Linked DNA regions of Callithrix jacchus. The protein of the gene in region 1 binds, or shares a complex with, the protein of each later gene. Links are inferred from orthologs where the notes say so. Each region holds a gene or a part of one and is shown on either strand. Other genes may lie near its edges.

What was found. Proteins that work in one complex are often made in the same cells at the same time.
Region 2: the proteins of ALB (region 1) and FCGRT are in contact, whole or in part, in a crystal structure (PDB 6QIO), measured with the Homo sapiens proteins. The link is inferred for Callithrix jacchus from reciprocal best matches to the Homo sapiens genes ALB and FCGRT. Residues at the interface, in NP_000468.1 of Homo sapiens: Arg105, Glu106, Thr107, Tyr108, Gly109, Glu110, Asp113, Asn133, Asn135, Gln441, Ser443, Pro445, Thr446, Glu449, Leu484, Leu487, His488, Thr491, Pro492, Val493, Tyr521, Val522, Pro523, Lys524, Thr530, Phe531, Thr532, Phe533, His534, Asp536; in NP_001129491.1 of Homo sapiens: Arg65, Glu67, Glu69, Gly72, Ala73, Val75, Trp76, Gln79, Val80, Ser81, Trp82, Trp84, Glu85, Lys86, Thr89, Arg92, Asn172, Lys173, Leu175, Thr176, Leu179, Phe180, His184, Glu188, Arg192, Gly195, Asn196, Trp199, Lys200, Glu201.

What each region holds. Positions count from the first base shown.
Region 1 is NC_133504.1:124,639,641-124,646,762, reverse strand, and holds the end of ALB (albumin), read left to right. Parts: intron 1-412; coding exon 413-551; intron 552-1,133; coding exon 1,134-1,357; intron 1,358-2,529; coding exon 2,530-2,662; intron 2,663-3,262; coding exon 3,263-3,304; 3' UTR 3,305-3,330; intron 3,331-4,814; 3' UTR 4,815-4,983; downstream 4,984-7,122. UniProt on the Homo sapiens protein: Binds water, Ca(2+), Na(+), K(+), fatty acids, hormones, bilirubin and drugs. Its main function is the regulation of the colloidal osmotic pressure of blood. Major zinc transporter in plasma, typically binds about 80% of all plasma zinc.
Region 2 is NC_133523.1:43,278,522-43,286,113, reverse strand, and holds the start of FCGRT (IgG receptor FcRn large subunit p51), read right to left. Parts: upstream 4,609-7,592; 5' UTR 4,519-4,608; intron 3,034-4,518; exon of another isoform or gene 2,869-3,033; 5' UTR 2,855-2,868; coding exon 2,782-2,854; intron 2,134-2,781; coding exon 1,864-2,133; intron 1,779-1,863; coding exon 1,503-1,778; intron 1-1,502. UniProt on the Homo sapiens protein: Cell surface receptor that transfers passive humoral immunity from the mother to the newborn. Binds to the Fc region of monomeric immunoglobulin gamma and mediates its selective uptake from milk.

The DNA of each region.
Region 1 (7,122 bases):
GTCAGATTAATTATGTTTTATTACTTTTAATTTAATCCTTTAACTACCCCTATTGAGTCAGATATATTTCCTCCCATTTCCTACTTGTATCTTTCAAATTTAGCATCTGAAGCTCTCTCCAGGTTTTATTGAAAAAAGAAAGAAAGAAATGTATGAATGTCACTGAATTAGGTAACTCACTTTCCCAAGATTATACAAGTGGTACAGCTGGAAGTCAAAGCCAGGTTTAACTAGTTGTTCAGAAGCAAGTTTTCCCCCCTACACTAACCTATTACTCTCAGATGGAGATAATATGACAAATGGAGCATAGGAACATTTTAGTTGATTCTGACCAAGTGTTCTCTGTTTTATTTTCTATGTTAGACAGTTTCTTGCCTGGCTGAAAACACATTGACTTCTTTTTTTTTTTCAGGCTATTAGTTCGTTACACCAAGAAAGTACCCCAAGTGTCAACTCCAACTCTTGTAGAGGTCTCAAGAAACCTAGGAAAAGTGGGCACCAAATGTTGTAAACAGCCTGAAGCAAAAAGAATGCCCTGTGTAGAAGACTATGTGAGTCTTTAAAAAACATAATAAATTAAAAACACAAAATTTTACCTTTAGATATTGATAATGCTGACTTTTAGGAGCATAAGGGAGTAATGTGTGTGTTCATGTTTTTGTGCGTGTGTGTGTGTGTGTGTGTGTGTGTGTGTGTGCATGTATGTGTGCTATTGGCAGCCAGGGCCCCAGAGATGATAAATTGTTTTTTAAAAATTTATGCATTTTCAGGGTTCAATCCTAATGTTCTCTAAATTTTTACTTTCTTTGGGGGATCTATTCTTTAATGTATCATTATAGGACTATTTCTTCTTCACTGTAACACATGTCTCAGCACATATTGCCTGAAATTATTTTCATCAATTGTTTTCTCAAGCAAATTATTCTTGAAATGTAGACATTTAATTAAAAGGAAGAGACTTTTGAAAGTCCTTATTTGTAGTTTAAACACAAGTCACTGCCTCAAATCAATTTTGGATTCAACATTGCTAGTTGAAACATAATACTTATTTTGGTGCACTGGAAAGTCAGAAGTTCATGGAAAATTTTCAGCTTTAACTCTTTTGAATTTTTGCTCTCCTGCCTGTTCTTTAGCTGTCCGTGGTCCTGAACCAGTTGTGTGTGCTGCATGAGAAAACACCAGTAAGTGACAGAGTCACCAAATGCTGCACGGAATCCCTGGTGAACAGGCGACCATGCTTTTCTGCTCTGGAAGTCGATGAAACATATCTTCCCAAAGCGTTTAATGCTGAAACATTCACCTTCCATGCAGATATGTGCACACTTTCTGAGAAGGAGCAACAAGTCAAGAAACAAACGTGAGAAGTATTTCATTACTGCACGTGTTTGTAGTCTTGATGGCAAGAACTGTCAATTCAAATTATTAACTTTTCCTGAAGTAGTGATTACATTTCTTAGAGGAAAGTATTGCCATTATTATGCTGATAAAAGTACCCAGAATAAGATGAATAACTTTTTAAAGACAAAATCCTATGTTATAATATTCCTAAAATTATTCAGAGTAATATTGAGGAGTAAAGCCACCATAGAATAACATCTTAGGCCATGATCAGTAGAAAAAGGTGAACAATTAACTGATAAATTTGCACACATGGCAACTTATTTAGTAGGAACCATAGGATAATTTATTTCTAGATGTAAATAATTATTTTAAGTTTGCCCTATGGTGACCCCACACATGAGACAAACACCCAAGATGTGATTTTTATGAAAAAGACTTGAATAAAAAACATCTAGAAATGCAAGCCCTGAAGCTTAACTCATTATTGCTATCACAGGGGTTAGAATTGCATGAAATTTAGCAATAGAAAGTTGCTGTCATCTCTGGTGGGCTGTAATCACGGTCTAGGCTTAAGAGTAATATTGCAAAACCTGTCATGCCCACACAAATCTCTCTCTGGCACTGTTGTCTTTGCAGATGTCAATGAAAGAGAACCAGAAGCTCCAATGAGTTTGGATAGCCTTATTTTCTATAGCCTTTCCATTAATGACTTTGAATGGAGCAAAGTTTAAAGACCAAATATAAAGACTCTCATCTTTATAGATGAGAAAAATTTTAAATAAATTCCAAGATAATTAAATTTTAAGGATAAGTTTTAGCTCTTAAATAGCTATAAAACCCAATATAACATAATATGGCACGTCCAAAATCTGAATAATATATAATTGCAATGACATACTCCTTTTCAGAGCTGTACTGAAAAGATATTTGTTGATACTACATAACATGATGAGTGGTTTATACTGATTATTTCATCTGATCTCCATGAAGGTGGATTTTATTATCCTCATCATGCAGATGAGAATATTAAGACTTATAGAGTTATGCCTGAGTGCCAAAGTACTCAGAGTTGGGGGTTCCAAGATTTATAATCTTAAATGATGGGACTACCATCCTTACTATCTCCATTTTTCTATGTGTGAGTAATGTTTTTCCTGTTTTTCTTTTTCTTTTTCCATTCTAACTCAGTGCACTTGCTGAGCTCGTGAAACACAAGCCCAAGGCAACAAACGAGCAACTGAAAACTGTTATGGAGGATTTCGCAGCTTTCGTAGAGAAGTGCTGCAAGGCTGACGATAAGGAGGCTTGCTTTGCTGAGGAGGTACTACAGTTATCTTCATTTTAATATGTCCAGTCTTCATTTTTGCATGTTTGGTTAGGCTAGGGTTTAGGGATTTCTATATCAAAGGAAACTCTGTACATGTGGGACAGGGATCTTATTTTATAAACAATTGTCTTACAAGATGAATAAAATAGCTGTTTGTTTTATCTCCTGCTCTATTGTGCCATCCTGTTAAATGTTTATAATGCCTGTTCTGTTTCCAAATTTGTGATGTTTATGAATATTGGTAGGAATATTTTTAAGGCCTGATCATTAAATCAAAACATTAATTTATTTAAACATTTTCTTGAAAAGTGGTGGTTTGTGATTTAGTTGATTTTATAGGTTACTGGGAGAATTTACATTCAAATGTCTAATCACTTAATATTGTCCCTTGTGGCCTGACAATACTTTTTTTTATTCCTTTGGGGACAACTATGTCTGTGAGCTTTCTTCTAGAGATTATAGTAGTGAATTGGAATTAAAGGATATGATGCATATGAAATCATTTTGCAATCATCAATAGCTTCATAAATGCTAGTTTTGTATTCTAATAGTAATGCTAATATTTTCCTGATATCTGTATTTCTTTTTATTCAGGGTCCAAAACTTGTTGCTGCAAGTGAAACTGCCTTAGCCTAAAGACATGGTAACTAAGAGCATCTCAGGTAACTACATTTTGAATTTTTTTAAAAAAGTAACTATAATAATAATAATTATTAAAAGAGCAAAGATTGACCATTTCCAAGAGCCATATAGACCAGTACCAACCACTATTCTAAACTATTTATATACGTATATATTAGCTTTAAAAATTCTCAAAATAGTTGCTGAGTTGGGAACTATTATTATTTCTATTTTGTAGATGAGAAAATGAAGGTAAACATCAAAGTATAGGTTAAGTAATTTTCCAAAGGTTCACCCAGCTAGTGAATGGTGGAGACAAAATACAAAATTCAAACCAAAGTCTAAGTGTTACCCATTATCCTATCCTAACTTATATGTCCTATTCTAACTTATATCATTAGTATTAGAGAATAGTAATTCCTAGAGTATTCCCTGAAGAGCCATCCAAGTAAGTTATGGCTCAGCAGGGAATACTCTAGGAATTAGGCCAAACCATACGAAAGAGGCCTTTATAGGGCAAATACAGTTGAATATCAGTTATTTCATATGGTTCAACTTAATAGTTCAACTAATTCTTTCCATTGGACAATATGATGGATCTGCCTTCTGTGAACTTTATAGTGAACAATCTGCTATTAAATTTCCAATTTGTCAACAAGCTGAGCTTTAATAGGACTTATCTTTTTATGACAAAAGGGCCCACTTTAAAATGTAGATGTTCGAGCATAAGCATGTTTTACCTATTTTGTGTGAATTATTTTGGAAGAATTAAAAAATAGAACCACAACAGAACATGTTGTTAAAAATAAGTTATTCAACTACTTTAAAAAAATAGAGATGGGAGATATCTCTTTGTTGCCCAGGCTGGTCTCAAACTCCTGGGCTCAAGCAATCCTCCCACCTCAGCTCCACCCAAAAAGTACCGGCATTACAGGTGTGAACCACCATGCTGGCTTCAACTACTTTTTAAACATGAGTTATTTTCATATTTTCCAAACTGACTGTGATGTCTACTCTACTATTATGATTTAACTTCCTCTTTGCCCATATGACAATACCTACATATGCATTCAGGCAAGAAAGAAACTTTGCATCTCTACAAATTTGGTAGTGTGAAGATGTGATTTGTTTTGGTCCTAAGTGGAAAGATTTTCTTCATAAAGTTCTAACTTTGAGAAGATATGTTTTTGCTTGTAATAACTTAGGTAAGATATAGAGGTTGAATAAATAACTCTGAGGAGTGATGATGAAAAGCCTCTGACTTTGAAGCTTGAGTCTGATGGCACCAATGGTGTTCCCTTTCACCAATGGTGAAAAAGGAGCTTCACAACTTTTATTGGTGTGTCCTTTTGCCTAGCTCAACAAAAGGAGAATTCAGCAGCCATAAGACTACGACAGGCTTAAATTATTTTCACTGGCGGAAATTGCAGAAAGATGGCCTAAGTAATTTGGCATTTATTTTAATAGATTTGAAAAACACAGCCATTTTGCAAATAGGGCTGATATTTGTCCTTTTGTTTTTCAGCCTATCACGAGAATAAGAGAAAGAAAATAAAGATCAAAAGCTTATTCATCTGTTTTTCTTTTTTGTTGGTGTCAAGCCAACACCCTGTCTAAGAAACATAAATTTCTTTGATCATTTTGCCTCTTTTCTCTGTGCTTCAATTAATAAAAAATGAAAAGAATCTAAAAAAGTGGTCCAGCACTGTTATTTTTCAAAGGTGTGTTGCTATCCTGAAAATTCTGTAGGTTCTGTGGAAGTTCCAATGCTCTATCTTATTCCACTTCAGTAGAGGATTTCTAGTTTCTCGTGGGCTAATTAAATAAAACATTAATACTCTTCCAAGTTATGGATTACAAATATTAAAAATAATATTTTGATATAATAACTATGAATAAAAGAACAAAAACTATGGTATAGGTAAGGAATGTAAAACATGGCTTTTCTCTCAGAAAAAAACAGTTCTAAAATTCATATGGAATCAAAAACAAGAGCCTGCAGAGCCAAAGCAACACTAAGCAAAAACAACAAATCTGGAAGGATTGAATTACCTGATTTCAACCTATACAAGGGCATAGTCACCAAAACAGCATGGTACTGGTATAAAAATAAGCATATAGACCAGTAGGAACAGAATAGAGAACCCAGAAAGAAACCCATATACTTGTAGCCAACTGATCTTAGACAAAGCAAACAAAAACATTAAGTGGGGAAAAGACACCTTTTCAACAAATGGTGCTAGAATAATTGGCAACCATACGTAGGACAATGAGGCTAGATCCTTATCTCTCACCTTATACAAAAATCAACTCAAGATGGATTAGGAGCTTAAATTGAGATCTAAAACTATAATAATTCTAGACAGTAACATTGGAAAAACACTTCTATATATGAGCTTAGGCAAGGATTTCATGACCAAAAACACAAAAGCAACTGCAATAAAATCAAAGATAAATTGCTGGGACTTAATTAAACTAAAAAGTTTTGCATGGCAAGAGAAACAGTCAGCTGAGTAAACAGACAACCCACAGAGTGGGGAAAAAAATCTCACTATCTACACATCTGACAAAGGACTAATATCCAGACTACAATGAACTCAAACAAATCAACAAGAAAAAACAATTCCATCAAAAAGTGGGCTAAGGACATGAATAGACAATTCTCAAAAGACTTAAAAATGAACAACAAACATGAAGAAATGCTCAACATCACTAATGATCAGGGAAATGCAAATTAAAGCCACAGTATGATACACCTTACCTCTGCAAGAATGGCCATAATCAAAAAATTTAAAAATAGTAGATGTTGGCACAGATGCAGTGAACAGGGAACACTTCTACACTGCTGGTGGGCACGTAAACTGGTACAATGCTATGGAAAACAGTGTGAAGATTCCTGAAAGAACTGAAAAAGAAGTACCATTTGATTCAATAATCCCACTATGGGGTATCTACCCAGAGGATAATAAGTCATTATACAAAAAAGATACGTGCACATGCATGTTATAGCAGCACAATTCACAATTGCAAAAACATGGAACCAACCCAAATGCCCATCAGTCAATGAGTGAATGAAGAAGTTGTGGTATATATGTATATAAGACACACACACACACACACACACACACACACACAATGGAGTACCACTTAACTATAAAAAAGAACCAATTAATGATATTTGTAGTGATTTGGATGAGATTGGAGACTATGATTTTAAGTGAAGTAACTCAGGAATGGAAAACCAAACATTGTTTGTTCTCACTCATAAGTGGAAGCTAAATTATGAGGCTGCAAAGGCATAAGAATGACGCAATGCACTTTGGCGACCAAGGAGAAAAGGGTGGGAAGGGAGTAAGAGAGAAAAGACTACAAATATGGTGCAGTGTATACTGCTCGGGTGATGGATGCATCAAAATCTCACGAATCACCACTAAAGAACTTACTTGTGTAACTAAATGCCACCTGTTCCCCAATAACCTATGGAAAGAAAAAATTTTTTAAAATAATAAAATAGCTAATAATATTACAAAATACCCATATGATGCAATGTTATACCATCACTCAATAGCATTTTCAGGGCCATTTGTAATGTAGGTGTTAAATTTATTAAAGACTTATTATTTGCCAAAAAAATAAAACATGCTTTTCTTTTTGCTTTTTTAAATGGGGTCACCTGGAGATAAAACCCGCCCCTGAGGGACTAGGAATTTAATGCCCACTGAGCCAGGGGAGCAAACAACAGCAGCTCTGATCCAGAAGCCAGGGGTAGCAAAGCAAATGCAGCTCCAAAGATGAGGTGCCCCATCACTTGACAGGGTCTCCTTGGCTGTGAA
Region 2 (7,592 bases), on another chromosome or scaffold:
AGAACTGTTTGAGGCCAGGAGTTTGAATCCAGCCTGGGCAGCACAGTGAGATGCCATCTCTACAAGTGTTAAACATTTGCCACGTATGGCCAGACGCGGTGGCTCACGCCTATAATCCCAACACTTTGGGAGGCTGAGATGGGTGTATCACTTGAAGTCAGCAGTCTTGAGACCAGCCTAGCTAATGTAGTAAAACCTCATCTCTACTAAAAATACAAAAAATTAGCCAGGCATGGTGGCGTGTGCCTGTAATGCCAGCTACTCATGAAGCTGTGGCAGGAGAATCGCTTGAACCCAGGAGGCGGAGGTTGCAGTGAGCTGAGATTGCGCCATTGCACTCCAGCCTGGGTAACAAGAGAGAAACTCCATCTCTAAATAAATAAATAGGCAGGTATGGTGGTGTGCACCTGTAATCTCAGCTCCTCAGGAGGCCAAAGCAGGAGGGCCACTTGAGCCTAGGGGTTCCACACCAGCGTGGGCAACGCAGTGAGACACCGCGTCTAGAAAAACAAAAAGTGAGCTGGTGTGCTGCTGCTGGGCTGTGTCACAGCTACTCGGGAGGCTGAAGTGGGAGGATCGCTTGAGCCTGGGAGGTTTAGGCTGCAGAGAGACGAGACTGTGTCACCACACTCCAGCCTGGAGAGACAGTGTGAGAATCTGTCTCAAAAAAGAAAAAAGGCAAAGGCCAGGCACAATGGATCACCCCTATAATCCCAGCACTTTGGGAGGCTGAGGCAGGTGGATCACAAAGTCAGGAGTTCGAGACCAGCCTGGCCAATATTGTGAAACCCCGTCTCTACTAAAAATACAAAAATTAAGTTGCCGGGCGTGGTGGCTCAAGCCTGTAATCCCAGCACTTTCGGAGGCCAAGGCAGGTGGATCACGAGGTCAAGAGATCGAGACCATCCTGGTCAACATGGTGAAACCCCATCTCTACTAAAAAATACAAAAAATTAGCTGGGCATGGTGGCGCATGCCTGTAATCCCAGCTACTTAGGAGGCTGAGGCAGGAGAATTGCCTGAACCCAGGAGGCGGAGGTTGCGGTGAGCCGAGATCGCGCCATTACACTCCAGCCTGGGTAACAAGAGCGAAACTCTGTTTCAAAAAAAAAATAATAATACAAAAGTTAGCTGGGTGTGGTCGTGAGCACCTGTGGACTACAGGGAGGCTGAGGCAGGATTCCTTGAACCGGGAGGCAGTGGTTGCAGTGAGCCAAGATCATGCTACTGCACTCCTGTGTGGGCGACAGAGTGAGACTCTGTCACACACACACACACAAAGGCAAGGAAGCCAGGAGTTTATCCTGGGGGGGTCTCTGGGGAGCCATGTGAAGGCTGTGAGCGGGCGGGGGGCAGGGAGTGCTGGGTTCAGAAGGACGCCTGAGGAAGCGGGGGCAGACCATGGGCTTCAGTGGGAGGCCAACTGAGGGTCCTGGCAGGAGCCCTGAGGCAGGGGTCGTGGCGGGGGAGAGGACGAACAGCTTGGGCTGCAGGGGGCTCACCCTTCCACTCCAGGTTTCCGCGGCCCCTCTCCAGGTGCTCCCGCAGCCGGTAGGGGCAGGAGTGTAGCAGGAAAGTGAGCTCCTTGCTGGCCGCCTTGTCCTGCTGCTGCCACCGCTGACTGATGGCCAGGGCTTCAGGCCAGTCCCCACCCCAGGTGCCCTGCTTGAGGTCGAAACTCATGAACTCCTCGCCGTTCAGAGCGAACTTGGCGGTGGGCACCGAGGCGTTGTCAGGACCCAGTTCACAGCCCAGCAGCCCCTGCAGGGTGTAGGGACCTGGGGCCCCCACACGCAGGTAAGCGGGGCCCAGAAGCACGGCCCCAGCCTCTCGCCCCTTGAGACCCAGGAGTCCGAGTCTCACCTTTGCCATCCAAAGCTTTGAAAGCTTCCAGAAAGAGCTTCTCCTTCATCCTCAGATCTGTGGTTTCTTTCTCCCAATACCAGGACACTTGGTTTTCCCAGACCCAAGCTCCACAGGGCTCCGCCTGGCCCCGGAGACTGCTGTAGCTCAGGTACTGCTGCGGGCCCAGCCAGCCCGACGCCCAGAAGGCAGGAGTCCCCGGGGCAGGCGAGGACACTGCGGTGAGGTGGTACAGGAGGGAGAGGTGGCTCTCTGCAGACAAAGACAGAGCTGAAGCGAGCACACGGGTGGGAACTAGACTGCAGTGGGACAGACACCCAGGGAGGGAGAAGAATCTATTATGGAGGGAGGGGGACAGATTCCGAGAGAGGAACAGAAACCCAGAGAGAGGAGGACAGAGACCCAGAGAGAGGGGAACAGAGATCCAGAGAGGGGAATAGAGACCCAGAGAGAGAGGGGGACAGAGACCCAGAGAGAGGGGAACAGAGATCCAGAAAGAGAGGAGGGGACAGAGACCACAGAGAGAGGGGGACAGAGACCCAGAGAGAGAGGGGGACAGAGACCCAGAGAGAGGAGGGGACAGAGACCCACAGAGAGAGGGGGAAGACAGAGACCACAGAAAGGGGGGAACAGAGACCCAGAGAGAGGGGGACAGAGACCCAGAGAGAGAGGGGGAGACACAGACGGGGGGAAGGGACAGACCCAGAGAGAGAGAAGGGCACGGAGACCCAGAGACAGACGCGACAGGCGGTTCGCAGCCTTAGGCCGGGGAGGAGACCGAGAGAAAGGGAACGGAGTGGAGGAGGCAGCGCTCGGCGCTCCCGGGGAACTCGGGTCCCGCTGGCCTCGCCCCGTCCCGCCTGGGGCCGCCTCCCGCCGCCCGCCCGCTGCACGGCCCCGGCCCGGAGCGGCCCTCACCTGCGCCCAGGCTCCCAGGCAGGAGGAACAGCAGGAGCCCCAGCACCCAGGGCTGCGGCCGCGGGAGCCCCATGCTGAGAGGACGACCTGGGGCGGGAGGGGGCGCGTGACTCCTCCCGACCCCCGGCCCGCCCCTTCCTCCGAGGCTCCGCGGGCAGGGCCGGACCGGGACGCCGACTAGGGGCTCTGCGGGCTCCGTCCCGACGGCCAGCAACGCCCGCCTCCCACCCGAAGAACTTTCACCCCTAAACTGGAGCGCCGCTGGTTAATTAGTTACAGAAACTTGATAGGCTGAGAGTCCAGGCCCCGCCCCTTCCACCGCCTTCAAGCCCCAGCCCCTCCTCCTTCAGACCCAGGAGTCCAGGCTCCTGCCCCTCCTCCCTCAGATCTAGGAATCCAGGCCCCTGTCCCTCCTCCCTCAGACCCGGGAGTCCAGGCCCCCAGCCCCTCCTCCCTCAGATCTAGGAATCCAGGCCCCTGTCCCTCCTCCCTCAGACCCGGGAGTCCAGGCCCCCAGCCCCTCCTCCCTCAGACCCGGGAGTCCAGGCCCCCAGCCCCTCCTCCCTCAGATCTAGGAATCCAGGCCCCTGTCCCTCCTCCCTCAGACCCGGGAGTCCAGGCCCCCAGCCCCTCCTCCCTCAGATCTAGGAATCCAGGCCCCTGTCCCTCCTCCCTCAGACCCGGGAGTCCAGGCCCCCAGCCCCTCCTCCCTCAGACCCGGGAGTCCAGGCCCCCAGCCCCTCCTCCCTCAGATCTAGGAATCCAGGCCCCTGTCCCTCCTCCTTCACCTCAGACCCGGGAGTCCAGGCCCCCAGCCCCTCCTCCCTCAGATCTAGGAATCCAGGCCCCTGTCCCTCCTCCCTCAGACCCGGGAGTCCAGGCCCCCAGCCCCTCCTCCCTCAGATCTAGGAATCCAGGCCCCTGTCCCTCCTCCTTCACCTCAGACCCGGGAGTCCAGGCCCCCAGCCCCTCCTCCCTCAGATCTAGGAATCCAGGCCCCCAGCCCCTCCTCCCTCAGATCTAGGAATCCAGGCCCCTGTCCCTCCTCCCTCAGACCCGGGAGTCCAGGCCCCCAGCCCCTCCTCCCTCAGATCTAGGAATCCAGGCCCCTGTCCCTCCTCCCTCAGACCCGGGAGTCCAGGCCCCCAGCCCCTCCTCCCTCAGATCTAGGAATCCAGGCCCCTGTCCCTCCTCCTTCACCTCAGACCCGGGAGTCCAGGCCCCCAGCCCCTCCTCCCTCAGATCTAGGAATCCAGGCCCCCAGCCCCTCCTCCCTCAGATCTAGGAATCCAGGCCCCTGTCCCTCCTCCCTCAGACCCGGGAGTCCAGGCCCCCAGCCCCTCCTCCCTCAGATCTAGGAATCCAGGCTCCTGCCCCTCCTCCGTCAGACCCGGGAGTCCAGACCCCCAGCCCCTCCTCCCTCAGATCTAGGAATCCAGGCCCCTGTCCCACCTCCGTCAGACCCGGGAGTCCAGGCCACCAGCCCCTCCTCCCTCAGATCTAGGAATCCAGGCTCCTACCCCTCCTCCCTCAGACCCGGGAGTCCAGACCCCCAGCCCCTCCTCCCTCAGACCCAGGAATCCAGGCCTCCAGCCCCAACTCCCTCAGACCCGGGAGTCCAGACCCCAGCCCCTCCTCCCTCAGACCCAGGAGTCCGGACCCCCAGCCCTCCTCCCTCAGACCCAGGAGTCCAGACCCCCCAGCCCTCCTCCCTCAGTTGGGCCCTGTTCTGCTCACGTTCCCTTCAGCCTCGCTCTCTTCCTGCCTGCGGCCCTGGCTGGCTCCAGGCTCCCGTGACTGGAGACCCCGGTTCCTCTCTCACATCCTGTGGGAGGGGAGGCTGCTGCTCCCTGAGTCCAACAAAATCCAGCCCCACCCCCCAGTTGCAGGGCACACCCCAGGCCCCAGGCCCAGCCTGTTTGTTTCTCAAAACGTTTGTGGTTCTTTTTCCTCCTTCTCCATGGTTCCTGTTTTTTACTTGGAGGGTGCCCACCTCCCAGGGAATTCTTGGCAGAGCTAGGAAAGGAACTGGACGCTCCCAGAGTCCACAACTTGGAGGTCTCTGGATCCTCCTCCTGCCCCTTTGTATCTCCGTGGCCCTCCCCAGCGCCCACTGTTCATCAGAACCTTCTGGAAGCCTCCATAGTGTCTCCTTCAAGCCCCGCCGCATCCCCTTAAAAAGTTCCTGCAGGTGCTCTTTAACATCCTGATGGGGCTTCAGTGGCCACACAGTCCCCATAGCTGCGGCCCCACCCACACTCCTGCTACAAAGCTCCCTATGCACTTGTTTCACTGGGGTAAAATATTCCAAATATTTATCCTTACTGGCCGGGCGCAGTAGCTCACGCCTGTAATCCCAGGACTTTGGGAGGCCGAGGTGGGCAGATCACGAGGTCAGGAGATGGAGACCATCTTGGCCAACATGGTGAAACCCCATCTCTACTAAAAATACAAAAATTAGCCGGGTGTGGTGGTGCGTGCCTGTAATCCCAGCTACTTTCGAGGCTGAGGCAGGAGAATTGCTTGAACCTGGGAGGCGGAGATTGCAGTTAGCGGGATGGTGCCATGCACCCTGTCACCATACACTCCAGCCTGGTGACAGAGCAAAACTCCGTCTCAAAAAAAAAAAAAAAAAAAAACTGGGCTGGGCTTGGTGGCTCACGCCTGTAATCCCAGCACTTTGGGAGGCTGAGGCGGGTAGATCACGAGGTCAAGAGATCGAGACCATCCTGGTCAACAAGGTGAAACCCCGTCTCTACTAAAAATACAAAAAAGAGCTGGGCATGGTGGTGCGCGCCTGTAGTCCCAGCTACTCAGGAGGCTGAGGCAGGAGAATTGCTTGAACCCAGGAGGCGGAGGTTGCGGTGAGCCGAAATCGTGCCATTGCACTCTAGTCTGGGTAACAAGAGCAAAACTCTGTCTCAAAAAAAAAAAAAAATTTACCCTTACTGTCATTTAATACATTTACAATGCTTTGCAACTGTCACCTCTATCGAGTTGCAGAGCTTTTTTATCACCCCCAAACAGAAGGTCTGCTCCCGTTAACCACCCCGCTCCCAGCCCCCAGCCACCATTCCTCTGCTTTCTGTCTCAATAGATTCGCCGATTCTGCACATTTCATAGAAATTGAATCATATAACAAACATGAAGTCTTTTCTTTCTTTCTTTTTAAGTTGAGATAGGGTTTGGCTGGATTGCAGTGGAACAATCATGGTTCACTGTAGCCTCAACCTCTCAGGTCAAGCGCTCCACCTGCTTCAGCCTCCCCAAGTAGCTGGAATTACAGGCACCCGCCACCAGGCCCAGCTAATTTTTGCATTTTTGCAGAGATAGTGCCCCGCTATGTTGCCCAGGCTGGTCTCAAACTGAGGGGCTCAAGACAGCCTCCCACCTTGGCCTCCCAAAGTGCTGGGATGACCGTGTGAGCCACCACACCTGGTCTGTTTTTAGTTCTCTTGGGTATACACCGGGAGTGGGACTGCTGGGTCAGGCTCTCTGGAAAACAGAACCCACAGAATGTGTATATGCATACACAGAGAGAGATTCATTTTAGGAACTGGTCTCCAGGATTAGTGGACAATTAGCTGGTTCAGAGTCTGATGGGACGCCAGGCGTGGTGGTGCATGCCTGTAATTCCAGCACTTTGGGAGGCCAAGGTGGGAGGATCGCTTGAGTCCAGGAGTTTGAGACCAACCTGGGCAACATAGGGAGACCCTGTCTCTATTTACAAAAAAAAAAGAAAAAAAAAAAGGCCGGGCGTGGTGGCTCACGCCTGTAATCCTAACACTTTGGGAGGGCGAGGCAGGCGGATCACCCGAGGTCAGGAGTTCGAAACCAGTATGTCGAAACCCTGTCTGTACTAAAAATTAGCCTGGCCCGGTCGTGGGCACCTGTAATCCCAGCTACTCGGGAGGCTGAGGCAGGAGAATCATTTGAACCTGGGATTTGGAGGTTTCAGTGAGCCGAGATCACGCCTTAACACCCCAGCCTGGGCAACAGACCGAGACTTTGTCTCAAAAACAACAACAAAAAACTTAACCATCAGGTAAATCTCTAATCTGTGCTCTCCTTGTCACGAATGTCTTCACCTTCCTGATTCTCCCAGAGTCCTGCGAGAAGATCCACAGAGAACCGCCCGAGGCCCGCTCCTAAGACACAGAAAGAACATGCTTTAACCTCCCGAGTACCCTGATTACAGCATCCTCAGCTCTTCCCAAAAATACCCTGAGGCACCTGCCCTGTCCTTAGCTGTCCCCTCTGGTTTCCTTGGGATCCTGTAAAATCTTCAGGACATTCTTCCAGCAGCCCCTGGGGCCCATTTTACGGTTCTTTGGACCCTGACGGAGTCCTCAACGGCCTGTTTCAGTGCCCCCAGGAGCCTGCTCTGCTTTTCCTGGAAGTCTGCCATCACTGTGGGGTCCTCCTCTAAAACCAGCCTTAGCTCTCATGTCCCCAGGGCCCTGCTGTAATATTACCAGGACATTCAGAAAGCTCATTTTTTTTTTCTTTTTTTTTAAAAGTGGGGTTTGACTATGTTGTCCAGGCTGGTCTTGAACTTCTGACCTCGTGATCCGCCTGCCTTGGCCTTCCAAAGTGCTGGGATTACAGGCATGAGCCACTGTGCCTGGCCTTCGGAAAGCTTCTTGAACCACCTAGGATACTCACAGGTTTTGTGCTCTTGCTGGAGGCTCCAGGGAAGAATCCGTGTTTTTGCCTTTCCCAGCCTCTAGAGGGCGCCAGCATTCCTTGGCTCATGGCCCACTGCTCCATCTTCAAGGCCCGCAGCACAGCATCCTCTCCCCTCTCTGACC